3 linked regions of the Neurospora crassa OR74A genome follow. The protein of the gene in region 2 interacts with the protein of the main gene of each other region in a pairwise test. Links are inferred from orthologs where the notes say so. Each region holds a gene or a part of one and is shown on either strand. Other genes may lie near its edges. The genes, in order: NCU06708, NCU10273 and NCU05313.

What was found.
Region 1: the proteins of NCU10273 (region 2) and NCU06708 interact in binary tests that used the Saccharomyces cerevisiae proteins (3 or more experiments, as listed by UniProt). The link is inferred for Neurospora crassa OR74A from reciprocal best matches to the Saccharomyces cerevisiae genes SGT2 and SEC22.
Region 3: the proteins of NCU10273 (region 2) and NCU05313 interact in binary tests that used the Saccharomyces cerevisiae proteins (3 or more experiments, as listed by UniProt). The link is inferred for Neurospora crassa OR74A from reciprocal best matches to the Saccharomyces cerevisiae genes SGT2 and FIS1.

What each region holds. Positions count from the first base shown.
Region 1 is NC_026505.1:4,345,218-4,352,521, reverse strand, and holds NCU06708 (protein transporter sec22), read right to left. Parts: upstream 3,154-7,304; 5' UTR 2,992-3,153; coding exon 2,958-2,991; intron 2,841-2,957; coding exon 2,221-2,840; 3' UTR 1,847-2,220; downstream 1-1,846. Other genes in the region: NCU06709 (hypothetical protein), read left to right, coding at 1-214, 428-1,587; NCU06707 (uncharacterized protein), read left to right, coding at 4,277-5,215, 5,273-5,866, 5,929-6,340, 6,395-6,585. UniProt on the Saccharomyces cerevisiae protein: Nonessential SNARE involved in targeting and fusion of ER-derived transport vesicles with the Golgi complex as well as Golgi-derived retrograde transport vesicles with the ER.
Region 2 is NC_026504.1:4,099,798-4,107,441, forward strand, and holds NCU10273 (Hsc70 cochaperone), read left to right. Parts: upstream 1-3,305; 5' UTR 3,306-3,468; coding exon 3,469-3,471; intron 3,472-3,545; coding exon 3,546-4,579; intron 4,580-4,643; coding exon 4,644-4,704; 3' UTR 4,705-5,071; downstream 5,072-7,644. Other genes in the region: NCU08686 (hypothetical protein), read right to left, coding at 520-1,035, 1,105-1,914, 1,982-2,590; NCU08685 (phosphoribosylformylglycinamidine synthase), read right to left, coding at 5,247-7,591. UniProt on the Saccharomyces cerevisiae protein: Co-chaperone that binds to the molecular chaperone Hsp70 (SSA1 and SSA2). Regulates Hsp70 ATPase activity. Required for recovery from heat shock.
Region 3 is NC_026504.1:5,369,771-5,377,160, forward strand, and holds NCU05313 (mitochondria fission 1 protein), read right to left. Parts: upstream 3,517-7,390; 5' UTR 3,235-3,516; coding exon 3,219-3,234; intron 3,139-3,218; coding exon 3,120-3,138; intron 3,051-3,119; coding exon 2,957-3,050; intron 2,885-2,956; coding exon 2,552-2,884; 3' UTR 1,926-2,551; downstream 1-1,925. Other genes in the region: NCU05314 (hypothetical protein), read right to left, coding at 1-427, 479-631; NCU05312 (hypothetical protein), read left to right, coding at 3,875-3,901, 4,048-4,512; NCU05311 (hypothetical protein), read right to left, coding at 5,102-6,094. UniProt on the Saccharomyces cerevisiae protein: Has a role in mitochondrial fission. Has a role in outer membrane fission but not matrix separation. Required for targeting MDV1 to the mitochondria.

The sequences.
Region 1 (7,304 bases), on a different chromosome or scaffold from region 2:
AATCACGACACGGTCGGGTCGCTGTTGGCCAGCATTGCGACTCACTTGAGCGACTCACTTCGCGCACTCAGATTTGCCGACAAGCGCCACTGGGGCCCTGACGAGTTTGAACAGATTCGCGCCCTTGAAGAAGCGTTGGATGATGCAAAGACAGATTTTCAGGAACTGGGGCGCTTGGTCAATGGGCAGTTTTACTATGAAGGAGACAGGACTCGTAAGTATACCATGATATCTTGAATCTTTTCTGACCCTCACCGTGCTCTTTCTCAGACTCACGTCATCTTTCCTCTGCTGGTGGCTGACTATTTCGCCTGGCACTTTCACTCACACGCCTCCATCACCATCATCATCACTCCTTTCCTTCCCAAAAATCCCACTCAGATAAAGCTTCTCCTTGCCTGCTCTACCAACTAACCCTCTCAAAAAGCCGAGTCCCTCAACGAATTGCGTGCCCTCCTGGTCAAATATGAATTCCACGCCCGCAACTACAAAGACTGGATTCGGCAAGGTGGGCCGATCAACCCAACTTGGCTCAGCGAGACCAAGGAACTCCAACTAGAGCTTCACCGCACGCAATGCCGTGCCTCTCGGCGCATATTCGCGGCCGAGCAGGAAGGGCCGTGGACACGGTGTCTGGGTGCCTACCAGGTGTATCGCCAGCAGCGAAGAAACGAGGAAACTGAGCGGCTACGGAAGCAGAAGGAGGAAGAGAAGCGGGAAAAGGAGATTAGGGAAGGGGGAAGCAAGCAGAGGGACCTCGAAAGTATACCGCCGTGGCAACGACATGAGTATCAAGATCAGCAGCATCCGCAGCAACAACAACAACAACAACAGCAACAACAAAACCGTACAGGGACAACGGACGAGGCATTACGGCCGGCGTTGAGAAGGGGGAGGAGGCTAAGCCTTGAGGATCTGGTTCCATGTTGCAACGCGGTTGGGAGGTTCGAGAGGTTTGGGGAGCACGACGTGGCCTTTGTATGCGACTTTTGCGACGGGTTCATCGTCTGGCCGGATCTACAGAGGATGCCATCTACGAGGGCGGCGTTGGATAAGACGAATGGAGGGAGTGCAAGTACGACAGCAAGTTTCCCGACATCAACGACGATAGCGAGAAACTCTCCAAGAAAGCTCATACTACCGACCATAGTGACGGCCTCATATCCAGCAGCAATTCTGCCATCGTCAACCATCACTACCACCACCACCACCACAACAACAAAAGAAGCACAGACAGAGACAACAACAGCAACAGAAAACACATATCCCCACTGGCAAGCCCAAGGCGTAAGCGCCAAAACAGGCGAAGCTAAGACGGTCGTTTTCGCGCCCTTAGCAATTGCGAACCACATTGCCCCCGTCCCTGGCGATTGGCTGGCGAGGATATGGTGTCCCTACTGCGACGAATACACGTACGTGGACCAGGGTGAGGACAGCGAGGACGAGGTCAAGTGGGCACAGGACGAGAGGGGGTTCGAGGACTTGGCCAGCTTCCAGGAGCATTTGGAATGGTATCATACGGCGTTGCCGGTGCCGAGTATACCGGCGTTATTGCCAAAGGCGGCGGGGAGTTGTTTGATTATGTGATTGAGGCTTGCGGGTGCGTGTGCGGGTGGTTCAAGCTTGGGCTTAGTGTCCAGGGTGTCGGTTTATGTTCTGGATTGAGAACAACAAAATTGAAAAAAAGAAAAAAAAAAAAAAACGGGTTTGGAATTGGAGTTTGGGGGGGCAAGAGCTTCTACTTCAAGTAGGGAAAGAGACCGATAGGCTATCTCAGATGGAGATTTTGTATCATCGCTTGACAGAAATAGCGTGTCGAGCAGAAGAGATGCCGGTCTGGAATGAACCAGGAGATACGCATGATTGAGCATCGGTGACACTGTGGTACAGTCATCCATAGAGACCTTGTCAGGCTTTAGGAAGGCATCGGATGAAGGAGTGGAAAGCAGGAACCTATAAGCAACATGTCTTGATAGCTGAAACCTCACCTGGCCAAACGTCCTTTTGCGTTTGCCCCCCTTTCCCCCCAACCTCCTTTACCCAAACTCCATGCTAGGTCAAGCGCCAAAAACCAATGCCCTACAAACACATATTAAAATAATTACAGAATCCACGTAGGCTATCCGTCACAGCATCATACAGAGCCAGGCTGACTGAGGAAACCCACCCGACGGTATCATGCTAACCCGCTACCGGTGATGCTCCCTGCCTGGGATGCACTCAAAAGAAGAATCTCCACCACAAGAAGAAGATGATAATGGAACCGACCGCCGCAAAGGGGCCGTACTGCTTCAGCAGCAAATCCCAGTTGATCTTAACAGCCGCCCTCTTGTACTTCTTGCTATCGTCCCTCAGCCTACTGCTCAGCTCGCCCATGCGCTCCAGGCTGTCGCCGCGGTACAGCAGATCCTCAATGTTCTTGGTCATGACTTTGGTCACGTCCCTAAGCTCATCATGCAGCTTATCCAGGTTCTGAGTCGCACGCGTGTCGCTGTAAGTCGCCTTGGTGCGGCTGATGAAGCTGTCAAAGTCCATAAAGGCATAGGGCCGCAGCGTCGGGTTCATGAGCTGTGCCGGGGTGTGCGTCGTCGCGAACTCGCCCGCAATGTCGGAAAGGTAGGTGAAGGCTAGCTTGCGCGGGTACGACCGGTCCGTAATGGCGAAGTATACGATGTCGGACTGAATCAGGTAGTGCAGCGTGTAGAGAGAGCCGCTCTCGATGCTGGCTTGCGGTTCCGAGGTGCGCGTTAGGCGGCGCAGAATTAGTTTGACTTGGGACTTGACTTCGCTGAGGGAGGATTCAGTTGCTTCGTCGTCGACGGAAGCGCAGAGCATGAGGCCTGTGTTTTGAGGGGAGGGGTCTTGGTTAGCTACCGGACAAGACATTGACATCTCCATAGGCACACAGATGTTGGTCGAGGGGGTTAGTTAGGGGGGGGGGGGGGGGGGGCACGAACCATCCAGCCGTGCAATTTGTGTTGAGCGGATCATTGTGAAGAATAGGTTATATCACTCCTTTTTCATTGTGTTGTTTTTGGCGACCTTTAGTATCGTTGTGCAACTCGAAATCAAGGCCAGTTCAGTTGCGTGCTTGGATTTGTTAAGTTGGTGTCGTTGGAGAGGACAGTGAACAAGGCAAGGTTTATAAAAGCTTGTGATGACGAGTGGGAGTGATCCGTCAAAAGCAGCCAGGTACGTGGCTTCTACCTAGGTACCGCAACCAACTCGCACCGACGAATTCTCTTGTTCAATTGCATGCTTCTTTCCCTGTCGACCAGCAGACCAGATTGTAATTCGCTATCCTCTTTCTTGTTTTTTTTTTTTCTTTACATGGCTATATAAAGAAAACAAAACATTACCCGTAGGTAGAGTGATGCAATGATTTCGCCAGGCCAACGTGTGTTTCCTTATCAAGGATTACAAGTCGTCAAACGGGACACTGATGACGGTACTGCCGCTGGAAATGTGTTGAAAGTTCACCCTGCAGGGCCTGCAAGTTAGTTTTGTTTAGGTAGTTAAATAGTGCGAGCAGGCAGTCTCGCCCGGCCCGCTATTCACGCCTACTATGCAGTATGTACAAGCTACCTCTAGCTTCCGGGGTGTGTCATGCAAGTGGCTGCCCGGGCTTGGCGCCTTTCAGCTTCCATCCCCACCCATCCTGTCCATCACACAACGACTTGAAGAAGGAGCATCTTCAACCGAACAACATCGGGGAAGGGGAGCTGGAGGTGGAATATCTACCTACTTACCTAGAGGTACCTATCATTCATCACAGTCAGTATAATCCCCCTCCCAGTTCAGAGTGGTGGTTAGATCAAGTTCAGTTCCACCTCGTTCCCTCGCACATCCTCCCAACCTTGCGCGTCAACTTGTACTCAAGGTAGTACCACTTCGGTTCGTTTCGTTGACCACATTTTCACCTGAACGCATCTCATTCTCTACTTTTATAAACCCCCCACTTTCTCCCCTCCCTTCCACCAGACATCAGTTTGTTCGCAGATGTAACCACAGCCATATTGGCCGCATGAACCATCATTGACTTACGAAAGACAAACGGTGACTTTCACGGCGCCATTCTGCCAGTTTCTGCTATCTGGTATTGTTTAATATCACAACAACTAAGTAGTTCCGGATCTGTCTAGATCCAGATCTGACTTGACGGTAATTTTTCCTTTGCCGGCAAACCCACACTGCCGCGTTCGATCACTCCTTGAACAACTTCAACACGCAATAATTATCTTTCCAGAAAGGCGACTAACTGAAGGTGTCCTGAAGGATGGCTGAAGAAGGAAGTAGTTCTCCGCTGTCCTCCGTCCTCTCTTCTCCTCCGGCCTCACCTCCCCGGAGCGTGAGTGGGGACTGGGATGCTATCCTTGTCCAAAAGATTGATACTGCTGCGCAGGTGACTTTGGAGGAGATAGCAGCCGAAAAGTCAACGGTCGAGGAACCAGCAGTTGAGGAACCAGCAGTCGAGGAACCAGCAGTCGAGGAACCAGCAGTCGAGGAACCAGCAGTCGAGGAACCAGCAGTCGAGGAACCAGCAGTCGAGGTACCAGCAGTTGAGGAACCAGCAGTTGAGGAACCAGCAATTGAGGAACAAACAGTCGAGGAACCAACAGTCGAGGAACCAACAGTCGAGGAACCAACAGTCGAGGAACCAACAGTCGAGGAACCAACAGTCGAGGAACCAACAGTCGAGGAGCCAGCAACCAAAAAGACAGCAACCAAAAGGTCAGCAACCAAAAGGTCAGCGGCCAAAAGGTCAGCAACCAAAAGGTCAGCGGCCAAAAAGCCAGCGGCCAAAAAGCCAGCAGTCGAGCAAGGATATGTCAAGGAGCCAGAGGTTCAAGGACCTGAAGAACCTGAAGGAGAACCGGCCACGCCGTTGGCGGCACCAAGTGCTTGCCCTGAAAACAAGACAGAATTTCGACCATCTGATCAGTTAGAAGCTCAGCAACCAGAAGAGAAAGGGTCTACATCCTGGGCCGCCATAAATCTCCCACCACCGAAACTACGATCAGTCAATAAACCAGAAGTTCCAACACGTGAAGAAGAACCAATTGCTCCATCAGCTGCGCCAAGTTCCGTTCCCAAGAAGAGAAAATCATTGCCTGAAGCAGTCAGTTCTAAAGAGGGTGTGGCTGATTCACGCAATATCCTCAAACCAAAACTGACGAGGGGCGCGTGTACTCCTTGCCGTGAGAACAAGCTGAAGGTTGGTCGGAAACTCTGGATATTCCCCGATTGTTTTTGTGTCTGACAGCTGCGATAGTGCCTAAAAGAGAAGCCAATCTGCTCACGATGTTCTGGATCTGGCACGCATTGTGTTTATGCTTTTGAACAGCCGCGAAAAGGAGTTTCAGCAGCGGCTCGCTCAGTTTCGTTCAAGGCTGAGGCCGTTCCAGCGGATGTAGGCGAGCCAAAAGCTTTGAGTCCGCAGGATGCGCATGCGGATTCGGCAGTACAGGACCTGGAAGTTGAGAAGGAAATCGCCACACCGGCAATTAAAGCAGCAACAGTCGCCGATTCCTCGATCAATGGACAGGGCTTCAAAGGTCCGAAAAATGAGGACCCAAGTACAGTGACGAAAAGGGCACGCAAAAGGGCAAGTGGGCAAACGCCAGAGGAAGCCGTCCTTAAAACCGATGCATGGAGTTCGAAAGCTACACGTCATTCTGGAAGCAGTGATGAGCAGCTGGGTACTGAGCTCGGAAAGCGTAAAGCCTCGGACCAGGACAAATCTAGCACTACTAAAAGGCCACGACATGCCGGAGATGCACCAAAGAAAACAAACCTGGACAGAAAGTGGGAAGCACCTTTCGTCTATACCGATGAGAAATCACCTCTTACCAATGCTGATCTCAGAGTTCGTACCTCTTCCCTCTCACAAAAATTATCCCACATCCATGATCTGACACTTGACCATAGGCGATTCTGCTGCTTCCACGAGCATGGGATGTGTTGACACCAGATGAGAGGAAAGACATCCTCGCTAAATTCCCCGACGACAGCCATATCTTGGACCCAGGGACCGAGATTGCCCGACCGGATCTTGTCTCCTTGCGCAACAACGATCACTTCAGATATGATTGTGCTCGGTACCTTGAAAACATTGAGCGGGGTCGACATGATGAACAATGGCTTCAGGAGGCCTGGGTCGCTCATGAAAAGCACAAACGAGGCGACTATGACGATTTTCTGATAAAGGAGTTTGAGAACGACTGGGCAACAAAGATACCAGCGGAGTTGCTCCAAAAGACCAGCCGTAAGAATGAGACGCTCGCGGCAGATGCTGTAGCAGTGTCCGAGAACAAGGCAATAGCAAAGGAACAGCATAAGGGTAAAGTTGATGTTCGCACATGATGACAATGTTTTGATACTAATCGAATGCCAGCTCTTCCTGGACGCATCAAGAGCGCTTCAGTGATACAAGAAGTACCTCCTGCCGATACAGCATCTGTTGTTATGGCCGAGACGAATACGAACCATATCGCTGATTATCACCCTAACGGCCTTGAAGAATCCAATACGAATGGGGCACGGTATACTGAACTACGGTTCGAAGTACCACACGAGGTTGATTGATGCTTCTGCAAAGCAATAGAACACAGAATACCAGCGAGGAAGACGTATTCCGATCTTTGTCTATGACGGGTCCCGACTTTGAAGCACCGCCGTATTTACCAGTAATTAATATACCACCCCAACTATGAAGGATGTACAGATCTCAGTCACTTGAACGAACTAGGGCGGTAATTCGGGAAGCGTAAAGTGACCACAGTCGCAGGATAGAGATCCAGGGCTACGAATGCATGATAATATTTGGAAGAGCGCAATTTACGGCGGAGAAAACATACGTAGAGTCAGGTTTATGTAGTATCCCACCCTTTCTCGGCACCCTATTTCGGAAACATGGACAACTGAGCGTTGTAACACGGAATGAGGCCGGAAGAGAGAATCACAAATCTCTGTTAGTTCCAAGAGGTTTGATGGATAATTTACAGTACCCATTCAAGTAGGTAAACGAGTAATACCAAACGACAAAACTTCGCGTATGCAACAATGACTAGGGCACTCATGGTAACCAAAGCTTGAACGCCTCATCTACAATGTTGATAAGCGTTCTTATATGTCAAGGTTAGTATATAGGTAGCCGAGATTGCAGCAAATTGTAACAATCACTACGACAGTTGTTCACAACTGTAATTCTTCCGTAGTATAGTGGTCAGTATGTGAGCTTGTCAAGCTTGAACATCAGTTCGATTCGCTCGAGACCCGGGTTCAATTCCCGGCGGGAGAGACCA
Region 2 (7,644 bases):
TGTGACTACTTATGAAGCCTGTGGTTGAATTAGTATGTTACATAGGGAAACCACTAAAAGTTCAATATACACTGACTGTTGGGGAAAGTGACGAAAAGACTGTGTTCTTCATCCAGTCAATTTCCCTGGTAATTGATCGCTCAACTTGTGTCTTTACAGCCATGATAGCTATCATGGTTATCGTCAAACAGTCCTAGAATATATACACGGAAAAACGCTATGTGAACCCCTCTCACCAATTTCACCATGAGGGGATAAAAAAAGAAAACCAGAGGAACATATATATACAAAGGCCAGAAAGGACACCAACAAGCAGTTGTAACGCCAAAACCCATGTAAATGCACACCCAGACCACGGCCCAATTCGCTGCATAGTGCCAATCGCCCAACCTGTCCCAATTTCTCGCTGGATCAATAACACGTCTCACCCAACACCATTATTCTTCCAAAAATTCACGTCTGTTCAAGTACTGACCAAAACCACCCCCGCCTTGAACGCGAGATGAGACTGGCAAAGTCCTACTGATTACCAGTGCCAGCGCCAGCGCCAGCAGCCCTCCGATTAGACCTTTGTCCTCCTCCTCCTTCTCCCCCCCTTTTTCTCACAATTCTCCGCGCCTTCTTCGCTTGCACATTCCTGTACTTGGCATACAGCTCAAACACGTCCCTGATCACCACGAACAGACAGCCACCAGCCAGACTGCGTCCCCATCTCTGTTGCAGCAGACCGCCGGGCCCTCCTTGCATGATTTTTCCACTCCTAAAGAACCCCGACGTGACAATGGCCTTGGGTGGGGAAGTCCACGACCTCGGTAGTGAGAGGCGGAGAAGCTCGCCCATGCCGTACGAGATGAAGGGGAAGAGAAGAGAGGTGACTACGTTGTTGGTGAGATCGGTGAAGGAAACCAGGGGGAGTTCCACGCCGTCTTGGTCGTCGTCGTTCCTTTCCCGTGCTGCGGGCTGTGGGGGTGGAGCTGCTGCTGCTGGCGCGGGCGCTGGCGCGGGCGCTGGCACTGCTGGGGCCGGGATGCGAGCCTCGGCTTCTGCTGCTTGGGCTGGTGCTGCTGGCGCGGGCGCTGGCACTGCTGGGGCCGGGATGCGAGCCTCGGCTTCTGCTGCTTGGGCTGGTGCTGCTTGGGCTGGTGCTACTTGGGCTGGTGCTGCTTGGGCTGGTGCTGCTTGGGCTGGTGCTGCTTGGGCTGGTGCTGCTTGGGCTGGTGCTGCGTGGGCTGGTGCTGCGTGGGCTGGTGCCGCTTGGGCTGGTGCTGGTTCGGGTGGAGCTGGTCGTGGTTGTGGTTGTAGACCCCCTTCCCAAACCATACCAATTGGTACGCCTTGATACTGTGGAGGCACATCCCAAAGCCCACCTGATGCACCGTCGATGGCAGTGGGAATCTCCTCATTGTGAGGCCCCGGACGGTGAAGGTCGGAGAATAGGAAATCATCGAAGTCGAAGCCATGGTTACCGTTGACGGCATTATTGTTGACGGCATTGTTGTTGACGGCATTAGCGCCTACTTCGAAGTCGGAGCCATCGTTATCGTTGACGGCATGAGCGCCTAGTTCCCAAGGATCATCTAGATTTGCTTCGTTCTGGTCTGGGGGGTTGATGAGGGCAATCCAAGCGGTGCGGCCCAGGTCTAGGAGATCGGACATGCTGAAGCGGCTTCCACGGTCTTGATTTCCATTGTTGTTGTTGTTTCCGGCCTCGGATTCGCCGGCGGCACTATCGATGGGCTGAAGGCTGCTTTCGAGACCCCGTAGAGCCCGGTTGAGGCGATCGTCGATCGGGCTTAGCCAGTAATTGTAGAATCTGATATAACTCATATGTAGATAAGGCATCATAACCATTGCCCACGTGGGTGAGGGCGGCCATGTTGGGTGATCGTCCTGGGTTATGAGTGCCAAGCCGTACTGATGAGGTGAAAGGTTAGAGTCAGCATCGACCGTGGAGATAGGATGAGGAAAAGGGTTGACAAACCATGGCGGAGAATGGAACAAAAAAGAAATTAGCCAGGAACGGCAAAGCTCGACTAAGGACGACGGCCGGAGCAATGGATGATAGCGACCACAGCCTCATCATTATTCTCCCTACTCGCGCACTTCTTGCCACGGGTACGGCAACAGCTTGACCGGGAGTAATCTGAAGGCCGACCCACCCGAGTGCAGTCTCGTAGCCAGCAAACCAGGAGGCAGCGACAACACCGTATGTAGCAGAGCTGGCAAAGGTACCGCTCACGGCCATGGACGCGAGGATAATGGGCGACACCTTGCTGAACTGCGAATGTATCGTATCGCGCAGAGCCACGACAAAGTCAAAGGGCTCCTCGACCTTGAAGGGAGCCTTGCACTGCGGACAAGTCACGTCGTCACGGCTGTTCCGCTTTTGGATCTCTTCGTACCATCGTATAAGGCATGTCTCGTGGACGGGCAAACTGCATGTACAAGGATGGATGACCGGTTCGGTAGTGTGTTCGCCTTCATCCTCGTAACAGATGCAGCATCGCTTGAAGTTGTCTGTGTTGGAACGTGTGAGGTTATTTGGTACGGGGTCTGGGCCGGCTCGTGAGCTGGTGCTTGGCGTCGCCATCTTGGGCTTGGTCGGGTGTGAGGGAGGAATGATTCGGTAACCGTCGTGGTCGTCGCCGTTATCGCTACAATATACAAGCAGTGGAAATGGTTATGGATTAATATCGAGACAGCGGGAACAGCAGAACCTGGCGTGGTTCAGGTCAGCAGACCGCCTTGTTATATCCGCAGAGAAGACATAAGTAGGTATGTACCGACAAGAAGGAGTGGACGACGGACGGTGGAAAGCAGCGCCGTCAACCTAATAGAAGGCGGGAGCGAAGCCCGAGCTGTGAAGGCTGTTTTTTTTTAAAAAGAATAAAAAATTAGGGCGCTGTCTTGAACCGCAATCGCAACCGCGACGGACTGTCAACGGGGCGTTGCGTTGTGCATTTCACATGCGTGACATCAGCGAGGCTCCACCCAACGGCACCGGGAGCGCATCGCAATGGAACCCCAAGGGTTCGGGTTTTGGTGGTGGGGGATCTGTACAGTTAAGCGCGTGCTGCGATGCTTATCCGGGCCCGGCTTTCATCGTCTACTACACATCATTTTTTGTAGAAGCTTAAGCCAGCCGCTGACCCCGCAGTTGCCCTCGTCTGCAAGGATATTGTACACTGGGCGATTGGGCGTTTGATTGCCCGCCCCATCCAATTCTAGAAGCGTCCCGCTGTTGCAGCCCCTCTGCCATCCCCTCCATTCGGACCAGTGTGCTGTACCTACCCATTCCCCCATTGTACAGACCGCCCGCCCGCCCGCCCGCATCCGTCTTTCTTGTCAGGTCATATCTCTTAAGGTACCCCGTGGCCCAACCAAAATAACCCAATACTCAAACTTCACGACATTATTTCTCTCTCTTTTAGATACCCCTAGATCGACAACGCTCACATCATACACAAGATGGTACGCCATATCAACTTCCCTCCGTTTCCTCGAACTAGATGAAAGCTAACCCTGCTCCTCCGCCTCTCAAACAGACGACAACAAAGCAGCGCCTCGCGCTCGCCATCTGCGACTTCCTCAACACCTCCTTGACCGACGGCACCCTCCAAGCCGACGACAAGGACAACATCGACATTGCCGTCAACTGCATCGGCGAGGCCTTTGGTGTCGACCCCTCCGATAAGGCCGCCGTGACCGAGGCCATCGGCTCCCAGAACCTGCTCCAGATCTACTCCGTCTACGAGAAGCTCAAGCAAACCAAGCCCGCCGCCGCCTCTGCCTCTTCCACCACCTCCTCCTCTTCCGCCGCCCCTGCTGCGGCCAGCACCAGCAGCAATGGCCCCACAGAAGAAGACAAGAAGCAAGCCGAATCCCTCAAGTCCAAAGGCAACGCCGCCATGGCCCAAAAGGACTACCCAACCGCCATCGACTTCTACACCCAGGCGCTCACTCTAAACCCAGGCAACGCCGTCTACCTGTCCAACCGCGCGGCCGCCCACTCTGCCGCGCGCGACCACGAGTCCGCTCGCGCCGATGCCGAGGCCGCCGTCGCCATCGACCCCAAGTACACCAAGGCGTGGAGCCGCCTGGGCCTTGCGCGCTTCGCCCTCGGCGATGCTAAGGGCGCCATGGAGGCGTACCAGAAGGGTATTGAGTACGAGGGCAACGGCGGTAGTGAGGCCATGAAGAAGGGATTTGAGACGGCCAAGAGGAGGGTTGAGGAGCTCGAGGCTCAGAATGATGCGCCTGCCGCCCGTGGCGGTGCCGGTGGTGCCGGTGGCATGCCTGATTTGAGCAGCTTGGCGAGCATGTTCGGCGGTGGTGGTGGTGGTGCGGGCACTGGCGCTGGCGCCGGTGCTGGTGGTGGTGGTGGTGGCATGCCCGATTTTGGCTCCATCATGAACAACCCCATGTTCGCCCAGATGGCCCAGAACCTCATGAGCAACCCCGACATGATGTCCAACCTTATGAACAACCCCCGTCTCAGGGAAATGGCGAACCAGTTCCAGGGCGGCGGTGGTCTGCCTGACATGTCTTCGCTTATGAACGATCCCAACATTGCCGATTTGTAAGTCTATTCCTTTGATTCTTCTTAGCTTCTGGGAGTTCAAACACACTAACAAGATTGATAGGGCGCGCTCGTTCATGGGTGGTGGTGGTGCTGGCGGTGCCGGTGGTGCTGGCGGAAGGTAACGAGCTGATAGAAGTGTTGAGGGATGATTTATGATTCTTGCAGCATTTCTTTACCCGCTTAGCTCAGGTATAATAAAACAAGTTGGCATAGTATGAGTCCAGTGTACAAGCAGGCCATGAGTCTAGTCTACGATTGGATTTCATGCTCTCCTTTTAAAGGCTGAACTATACTTTTTGTGCTCTACAGGGTCCCTGCGCTGATGCATGAGCTTCACGAGGACCCCCAACTTGTCTGCGATTTTGAACTTCGAATACATCAATGTATTCAAGAGCCTCTCAGGCTACTAGCCCCTATTTCGAGTATTGAATCTACCACCCATACCTTATATACAATTCCCAACAAAACACTAAACAATCCCATTTTCCCCTGTCAACCATCCAGCTGATTAAACCATCCCTCATACTCCGCAATCCGCAAATGTTGAATGTCCCTAACCCTTGATTATCCCTTTCCAACCCTCTATTTTGATCATCTCTGCTGACGTTTTCTACGTGTACCTGTTTCTGTCTTGTCCGGTTTCATCGTCCCATCAAATCATTGCTTAACCAACCCAGCGTCTAGCGCTCCTGAACATCCTCAACCAAGGGCCGAACTCGCCCCACTGGGCAAGCTGGTCCTCGGGAGCGTAGCTCGTCACACCAGCCATGATGGTTCTCTCAGGGTGAGGCATCATGGCCAGGACACGGCCATCCCTGCTGGCCACACCGGCAATACCAGCCGGGCTGCCGTTGGGGTTGAAGGGGTACTCCTCCGTGACGTTCAGGCGGTTATCGACGTAGCGGATGGGGATACCGTTCTGCTCAGTGAGCGCCTGGAAGTCAGCCTGCGAGTCGAACTCGGCGCGGCCCTCGCCGTGGGAGACGACGATAGGAAGGCTGGATCCGCCCATGCCGTTGAAGAAGACCGAGTTTTTGGTTGCCTCTCCTTCCTCGATCTTGACCATGCTGTAGCGGGCCTCGAACTGGGCCGAGGCGTTCTGCACAAACGTGGGGAAGTGCTCGGCGCCGGGGATCAGCGACCGGAGACGGGAAAGCATCTGGCAGCCGTTGCAGACGCCCAAGCTGAAGGTGTCCTTGCGGTTGAAAAAGGCCTCGAGCTCGGCGCGGGCCTTCTCGTGCAGCAGAATGGACTTGGCCCAACCCTGGCCGGCGCCGAGGACGTCACCGTACGAGAAGCCACCGCAGGCGGCAAGACCGACGAAGTCGGCGAGCGAGCGGCCGTTGATGATGTCGGTCATGTGAACGTCCACCGCATCGAAGCCAGCGGCACGGAAGGCGAAGGCCATTTCGGCGTAGCCGTTGACACCCTGCTCTCTGAGGATGGCAACACGAGGCGTCTTGCCGAAGAAGCCAGTGATGGAGGCAGTGAAGGGAACGATGTTCTCGGCGGGAGAATAGGTAAGGGTGTAGGAGAGACCGGGGTCTTGAGAGTCGAGGATAGCAGCATACTCAGAGTCGGCACACGCCGGGGTGTCTCTCAACTTCTGCATCTCGTACGAGGTCTTGCTCCACCACTGCTGCATCTCAGCCCGGTCAAGGGTCACGAAGGGCTTGCCCTCGCCGTAGCGAATGGCAAGTGTCTGCTTGGCAGTGGGCAGAACGACACCAATCTTGCGAATCAGGCCAGCAGGAGGGCCGCAAGTGGCGAAGCAGCGCTTGAAGTTGGTCTCGTCCTCGGCACGAACCTGGAAGACGGCACCAAGCTCCTCGTTGAAGAGCGCATCGGTAAGATCGGCCAAGCTTCCGGACTTGGAAACGCCGTCCAAAGTCAAGTCGACGCCGCAGCGACCGGCGAACATCATCTCGGCAACAGTAGTGATCAAACCACCATCGGACCTGTCATGGTAGGCAAGGACGACGCCGCTCTCGTGGAGCTGCGCAAGAGCATCGAAGTAGTCCTTGAGGAGATCCACATCGCGCACATCAGGCGCCTCGTGGCCAATCGCGCCGAAGGACTGAGCAAGAGCAGAGCCACCCAGAGCCTTGAAGCCCTTGGCCAAGTCGACGAACAGGAGAACAGTCTCGCCAACTTCTTCCACGCGACGAAGCTGAGGGGTCCATGTAGTGCGAACGTCCTCAACGGTGGTAAAGGCGGAGATAACGACGGAAACAGGAGCAGTGACGCTCTTCTTGACCTCGCCATCCTTCCAGGATGCCTTCATAGAGGTCGAGTCCTTTCCAACGGGGATGCTGATGCCGAGCTCAGGGCACAGCTCCATACCAATGGCCTCGACGGCCTCGTAAAGAGCGGCACCCTCACCAGGGTGATTCACAGCGGCCATCCAGTTGGCGGAAAGCTTGACGCGCCTGAGATCACCACGCTGGGACCCGGCCTTGATATCGGCAGCACCAAGGTTCAACAAACTTTCGGCGACCGCCATTCTAGCAGAAGCAGCAGGAGAAATGAGAGCAAGAGTGGGCTTCTCACCCATAGCCATGGCCTCGCCACCCTTGACGCCGTTAAGACCAAACGAGGAGAGGGTGACAGCGACATCGGCAACGGGAACCTGCCAAGGACCAACCATCTGATCACGCACGGTTAGACCACCGACTGTACGGTCACTGATGGTGATCAGGAAGGACTTGGAGCCAACAGATGGCAGCCAGAAGACACGCTGAACGGCTTGTCTGAGGAGATCTTCGTCGCTAGTCGACTCGCCAAAGGCCTCCTTCAGGCTGGCAACAGGGTTGAAAGCAGGCCACTGGGGCTTCTTAGAAGTAACAATGCGCTCAAGCTTACGTCCCTTGGGGAAGAGGACATCCATGGGGACATCAATAGGACGGGGGTACTCGTTGGACTGCTTGTCGCTCAAGATGAGCTTGGAAACACCATCGGCCTCCTTGGTGATGACAGTTCCGACGTCAGAGAAGCCGCAACGTTCCCTCTCTATTAGGTTTGTCAGAACTACCAGCATATACAAACAACTCGAGGTAGGGGTG
Region 3 (7,390 bases), about 1.3 Mb from region 2:
CCGGCCCGTCTCCCGCTGGGCCTCCTGCAGTTGTCGTGGTCGTGAAGGTAAAGCTAGCCATGCCGTCTCCTGCTCTGGTGAAGGTTGTACGTTGTATCCGCGGCTGTGTCCCAAAGGCGTTTCCCCCTTGCTGTCCCGGCCTCGCGCCGCTTAACTCGACAAACATGTCGGCGAACCGCGACAACACGGCCTCGCCAGGATCATCTGGGCGGGCACGCGGCCGGTCCGGACTGCTATCAAGATCCTCAAGACCGTTCCCACTTGAACGGTTGAAGGGACTATCTGGCGATTGGTACACCGATCGTCGCATGAAGAAGGACCCGGGGCCACGCTCGAGGAACTGCTCTATGTCATCTTCCTCCGGGTCCGAGTCTGAACGGTGACCTTGTTGTTGAACACCTGGTCGGGGATCGTTGTCAGGTTCGACCTGTACAAAGGTTAGCGTGGCGATAGCTGGACGGTAGATGGGAGAACCCACAATCTGGACGAAATCATTGTGACACCTGGGGCATTCTAGGTCCAGATGGGGGTAATCGTCACGATACCACTCGTTTTCGCAGCCATAGCAGTAGACGACTTCTCTACCCGTTGTCGCATCGAGATGCCTCGGGGGAAATCCGGGAGAGGCCATCGCCGTCGGTCGGCCCAGCAGCCTTTGGGTTGCGTTGTAAGCAGCAAAGGCGGCGAGCCCTAACTGGACGGTGAGGCCGATGGTTTGGAGCGCTCCTCGCAGGGCCAGTTTGATGTTTGATATCGGGGTCGGCGAGTGTTTCGAATGACGGAGAGGAGATCTCCAAGGATTATACAGTTGGCTTCGGAATTCAAGAAGCCCGCGCGTAATATGGCGAGGATACTAATTGTAGGTGGAGGTCTGGCACTTGAAGTACTAGGTGATGTAGGTTGTTTGAGTGAAGTGAAGTGAAGTGGCTGCCCCACTATGATGGAGTCGATGTTCTTGATGCAGCTGCTGTGATCTACAGCGTTGGCGTCCTACATTCAAGGATTCGCAGCGGCGACGGCATCAACGGGATGGAGCAGTCGCGCGGCACAACTTTAATGGACAGGTATCGGATCTTGCGCGTTGTCAAGGGGAATCTTCCGTCGTTCGAGGCTGTCGGCTCTTTTGTGGCGAGGGTTCTATTGTTAGGAGAAAAGGAATGGAATGGATGATGGCACAAGGTCGGTTTGTTGGAGAAGGTTCAGCCGTTTGCTAGATCGATGTAGGTGGTGTCTGTACCTGCCTCCCTGCCTTGCGCTGAGGTAAGATCCGACCGAGCAATAAAAGAGGGATGACAGCCATCCCATTGGACCCTGGGTATCGCTGTAACCGCTGTATTTGGTTAGGCCTCGGAAAGTCGGCGCAGGCCGGGCATGCGTCACAGCGTTACCTCTGCGTACGGTAATTTGAGACCAGGATGTATAATGGATCCTGGTAATTACCTAATTGTTCTTTTCCCTTCTTATACTCGCCACGGGTCAATATGGCCCTCACTCTTTTTTGTCCCTTTATATAGTTCACTGATGTATCTGTCCAATGTTGATGCTGAGACATACTGGATGTATTACAATGTTGCAAGTAGGTAGTCCTTTTCCATACTCATCCACGACCCGTGAATCATGAATCGGATGGGGTTCAAGGTAGAATATGGGCAATGTTTCATGTCACATTGATACTGCATTTCTTAACGGCCTGATGAGGGGAAGAAATGAAGTCTGCCCTGGGCTTCATTAGGTGCAGCATGGAAAGCCCAAGGGACCCGATTAAGCATGTCGCAGGTCGTTAACAGGAGAAGTGAGCCAATGTGTCGGCGTCGAGCTGCAGCCTGACCCTGAGACAAATGGTCCCGCATGCACGAAAGTGGGCTATGACCGGGGCAAGGCACGGCAAGGCACACATCTTTGAGGAGCAACAATGGTAGGGTACGGTATTGGGTGTATGTATTGATATATCGTTTAGTAACACGATTGATACCTCTAACGCTACAATATGGTTTTTGGAATGACAATGTGATACCAAGGCTTTCCAACATAAACAAAGCGAGAGGTACAGTAACACCGTCACGGGGTCTAAGCCTTCAAAGAGGAGCACCTCTGCGTTGACTGTTGTCACACCTGGCAGTTCTTCAAGGCTAGCGCCAAGAACTAACACCCGCGACGTCTTCGAGCATCCAATCTCTGGGATCGCTTCTAGATGCAGTAACCAAAGTCCACGCCGTCAAATAAAGCGAATTTAGGGCGTGAGCCGAGTTCGATTCAAGAAAGAGCATCTCCAGAGATGGAGTCTAACAAGCCAACAACAATCTAAGATAGGTAGTTGGGGGAAGTGGGGGATGTGAACCAAATAACCCATGTCTTATAGAAAGGAATGTCTGTAATCCAGTTATCGGGACTTTAAAGAAGGAAAAGAGGATTCAGCTCGTCAAATCATAGCCCATAATATACACACCGGACCCTGTTGTCCCATATCGTCATCAAGGAGCGGCCTTTTCTGCCCTTTCACCTTGTGCCATATGTCATCATCCATCAGGCGACCGGCTCACCCTCCTACCCACTACCTCTTGCGGCCCAAGTTCCTGAGCAAAACGCCTCCTATGACACCGGCGGCAACCGCCACACCACTAATGATGGCCACTCCCATCAAGCCCTCCTTGGTCACCTTGTCGTCAATCAGGGCTCGGAGGTTGGCGGCCTGGAGGTTTGCCGGCTCGTTTTCTAGGAGGGCGTCGTTGTATTTCCTCGCTTGCGCGTAGTTACCGAGCTTGTAGTTGCCGAGGGCGAGGTAGTATAGGCATTCGCGGCGGCGCTCGGGCGATGTTCGGAAGATTTCTGATAGCAGCATGACACCGAGGTGTTGGTCGGCTCGTACGTTGGACTTTACTAGGCCCTGTAGCATTTCGTAAAGAAGTTATTTAGTTTATATTTCTTTTCAACGGGAATCATGGGTGTTGGTTCGTACCCATGCGTAGTTGAACTTGGTCTGGACGCCAACCATCTCTCCCTCCTTCTCATATTGCGCCCGGAGAACATTGAGCTCGGCGGGGTTGAGCGGACTGCATCGTTATCGTCGTTGGTTAGATGACTCGGCGATCCTGGGGCGATTGTGCAACTCGGGGACTCACGTTTCCGCATCCACTGCATCTGTAACCACGGATGTTAGCTACCTGTGCCAAGCTTGGAAGAACAATGAAAACGAGTCCCATGAGCTGACCAGCACCTACAGGGAAGTTGTGTCATTTTGACAAGCTGGGTGTATTTAGTTGAAGGAACAAGAAAACTGGTATCCTGAATAGAAGTAGGTATATGGTCGTGAATTGTGCGGCAGCGGGCGACTCTGGTATCTCGGGTTTGTAGGTAAGGTAGGTAGTGGTGGTGTGAGACGGAGGTGGACAGCAAGGTTCTGGAATTACCAGGTTAATGATAGCTGAGAGTGCCGCCAGTAGTTTTATCGCGTGGCTGGAGCTCTGTTTAATGTGCCACCGATGACGAACGACACTGGGGAAACCCACTGCAGCATGCCCGATCCTTGACCGGTGATAGCCCGAGGTCCCGTCCCCATGTAAATCTGCGATAAGATAAGGGAATGTCCCACTTCAGGTCCTGTTGCGGCTCCTGTCCCGCTAGGTCCCGTCGTCGCCCAGGATGAATGGGTCCCGCTGTTGTTTGGTTTGGGACTCGACAATTGCGACACAACAACAAACCATTCGCGACCTCGAGTTCGTTCGCGAACAAACACTTTTCTACAACAACAGAAACTAAACGAGCACACTTTTACCGTCACGGAACTCATAAATTCAACTCGATCGCAGAAGCAAATATTTACATATACCCGAATTAAAACAGAACACCAACCTCAAGTCAAACTAAACCTGCCAAAATGCTTCTCGAAGAAGACCCCTCCACCGTAAGCTTCCCCGTTCATTCTACATCACTCCAACCTACCAAAGAACCTCCCCCTCTTCATCTCCCTCTCTTCCCATCCCCCTTACCCACCCCTCCCTCTTTCTTTCTCTCTATCAACCACCCACTAACCCCCTCCCTCCCTTCAAGCTAATCGCCCACACGACCCAAAACTTCAACATCACGCCCGACCGCCACGCCGTCTCGCGCGTCGCCGAATCACTTTCCACGCTACAACAAGCGCGCGACCTCCGCCTGCGCGAATCCGAAACCAACCTCAAGAAACTCGCGCGCACCCTCAACACCTTACAGTCCCAGCACCAAGAAGTCACGTCCTCGCACAGTTCCGCCGAGCACGCCTCGTTGATTTCCCGTCTCGACACGCAAAAGTTCCGCGTGGCGAAAAATGTTTCAGATCTAGAAATGGAGACGGAGCGACTACAGACGCAATTGGCGGAACTACAGGCGCGGTTGCAGGAGTTGGAGTTGCAGGGGGTTGATGGTGGTGATGCTTCTGCTGCTGGTGGTGCCACATCGACGGGAGAAAATAATGGGAACGGCAGTGCCGGGAATGGGGGCCAGGTCAGGAGCGTGGAGGATGAGGTGTTGTTGTGAGGTTGAAGGTGTATAGGAGCTTGGGAATCGAGATTGAGAGGGAGGAGCAGGATGGAGGGGAGTTTACGAGGGCGGTGGTGCGGAATGATAGGCGGGGGGATGTGTGCGTGGTTAATGTGGACCGGCATCGGTTTTCGAGGTTCTTTTATGCCAATTATTTTTGGCAGACGTTGTAGGGGCGGTTGCTTGGGGGTAATGTGAGATGGCTGGGGATGGGGTATGATGGGAAGGTTGGGCTAGGATGAGGTTACGGACGCTTGCGAAAGGGATATGATGCATGGATGGATGGGATCGGCGTCTGGAGGAGTTTGGGTGGGAATAATACCATGTCATTATTTTGTTGTTTCAAAACAAGTCGGATTTCTTAGCGTGATCATATTGAAGTATGTTTTGCTTTATTATCGCTTTTCGCTAATACCCAGACGTGTTCTATCCTTGTAACTTGTCATAACAGTGTCTGTATCTGTTTAACGAAAAAAAAAAAAAAAAAAAAAAAAAAAAAAAAAAAAAAAAAAAAAAAGGGGCCCTGGTTACGTATACGAACATTGTCCAGATCAGCAAAATTAGACAAACATAACATGACAATTATTCACGCCGTAGGCCTCCACTTCCCTTTCTGAGAAGTGAAACCCGCAAAGTACTCTTGCTCCTTCTCCCACATCCCCATACCCATCGGCGACACCCCGTTTCCATTACGGTGATTGTTCCTCCTATCCCCCGGCGGCAGCGCCATCTTCGATATGCTTCCAAAAGCGCTCTTATTCGCCCTGGCGCCCGTACCATGCCAATTATTCGTTTGCGCCTCGGCACAATGTCCCGATCCAGCTGTGCCATTTCCACTTCTCAAAGTCCCCTTTCTACCATTAGTACTTCCCCCCATCCAACCCGCCTCCAACGATTGCGACGGCCCAGCACTATGCGATCGATGGCTCAGACTGTGGTGGTACCGACCCACAAAGCTGGAGCACCTTTCCATCGGCAGTTCCAGCCGTGAGTTGATGTTCTGCCAGGCGTCGTCGTCGTCATTGCTGTCGTTCAGTCGCCACCCGCCTACTCCTTCAAAGTCTCGCTGGATGCCGACCGAGGGAGCCAGCCCGCCGGTCTCGGGCAGAGGGGGAACCATCTCGGCGTCTTCCCGGATGGAAGCGATGGTAGGCGAGATGGATGCTTGACTAGAGCGGCGAGAGCGACGAACGGTGCCAAAGCCGTAGCTGCTCTTGCGGCGGAGAGGACTCCGTTGGTGGGAGTCGTAACCGTTGTAGTAGTAAGGGGAGGGAGAGACGACGGCTAAGGGCGAGTTGTCCTCACTATCCCCGGCGGCTCTGTTTCCGACGCTGCCTGTGCTACTAGAGGATAGACGGCGTGGAGTAAGAAGTTCGCCGTCAGTGACGCTATGGTAGTGACGGCCTTTGATGAACTGGGGGACGAATGCCATGGCTATGTCGACGTAGACGATGGCTACGCGGAACATGAGCAAAGAGAAGGCGAGGGCGGAGGTGATACTCGCGAAGATGGCCATGGGAATGGTGAAGAGGCAGAGGAAGGGGACAACGAGTCCATGGACGGGGTTGAGGAAGGCCATGGTGTCTGTGCGGGGTGTTTGCGGTCTGTGGCAACAGATGATGTTGAGGATGTCGAAACCCTGGAGTGAAGGCCTCGGTTTTCTGGTTTGCGTTTTGACGGCGAGTTGGAGAGTGAGGTGGGAGGGGGTCTATGAAGCTGTATAAGGTATGCAGCTTATTGGATTTTCTTGCAGGCGAGGGGCATATCTGCCGCTGAGACCAACATGCCGTGCGTGCGCTTGGAGCACAGTTCCCTTGGTTATCTTGTTCCCTGACCCGAGGTTGTGGCACTGAACTAGTACAGTTTGAGTTTACGACTTGATAAGAGTTTGTTATTTGGGGGAGATTTTGTCTAGGCTCCGAGGGCCATGACGGATGTAAAGTGTAACGGGCTTGAAGTGCGCAAGACGGGGAAACGGAGAGTGAACCGGGAAAAAGCAGGGGGGACTTGAGCCGTTTGGAAACAGGGATCGGTCGGAGCTTAAAAGCTGGGGAAGCAGTTTCAGGGTCCACTACGCCCGCTTTGACACTTCGGCAGGCGCCGAATGAGCAACCAGATCATCACAAGGGGCTGTTCTTAGCGGGCCGTGAACACCTCCAGCGGTTGACGTGCCCCGGAATAATGAGGTCTTGGCAGCCATTCCCTTACGTTTTCGATCCGCTCTTGCAAGAATCTGGACACCACCAAGAACGATGCCCCCTCTTTCCACTTGTCGTTCCATGAGATGATCGAGATTCCTGCTTGACGGCCACAAGTTGCATATGTACATGTTCACCGGTCCCTTTGTGTCACTTAACCGACGTACATCCGGACTGAGGAAGCCCCGCGATCGTCCCATCGCTTCGTCTTATCAGCCCATCGGCATGGGTGTCAAAGCTGAGCCGAAGTTCAACCATCAATGAAGTCAACATGACACCAAGTCCAAAGATAAGGTTGGACGGGGAAAAAGTCCTCGACAGCCTTCAATCGACGTTGATAAAAATGCCGGTTCGAGTGGCCCTTGCAGCCAGGATTCACAGACATTTTTTTCCCATGTTGCGAGTGCTTGTTATCTACGCATGAGCCTCCGCTATATAGTACTGGTAGTCTACACTATATTTCTACCTATTCAAACTCAAAGGGTGAGTTTCCCTTAGCCAGACCACACGTGTGCCAAGACTGGGCATTTTCAATTGTACCGTCAAGTTGAGGCTGTGTTGGGAGGGCAAGGATGATACTCTGTGGACAGGGAATAGCTTCCCCACATGCATCTCCAACTGACATCATCCGTTGGAGGAGGCGTTCCTGAAGGCTGACAGGATGGCAGAATGGGTGA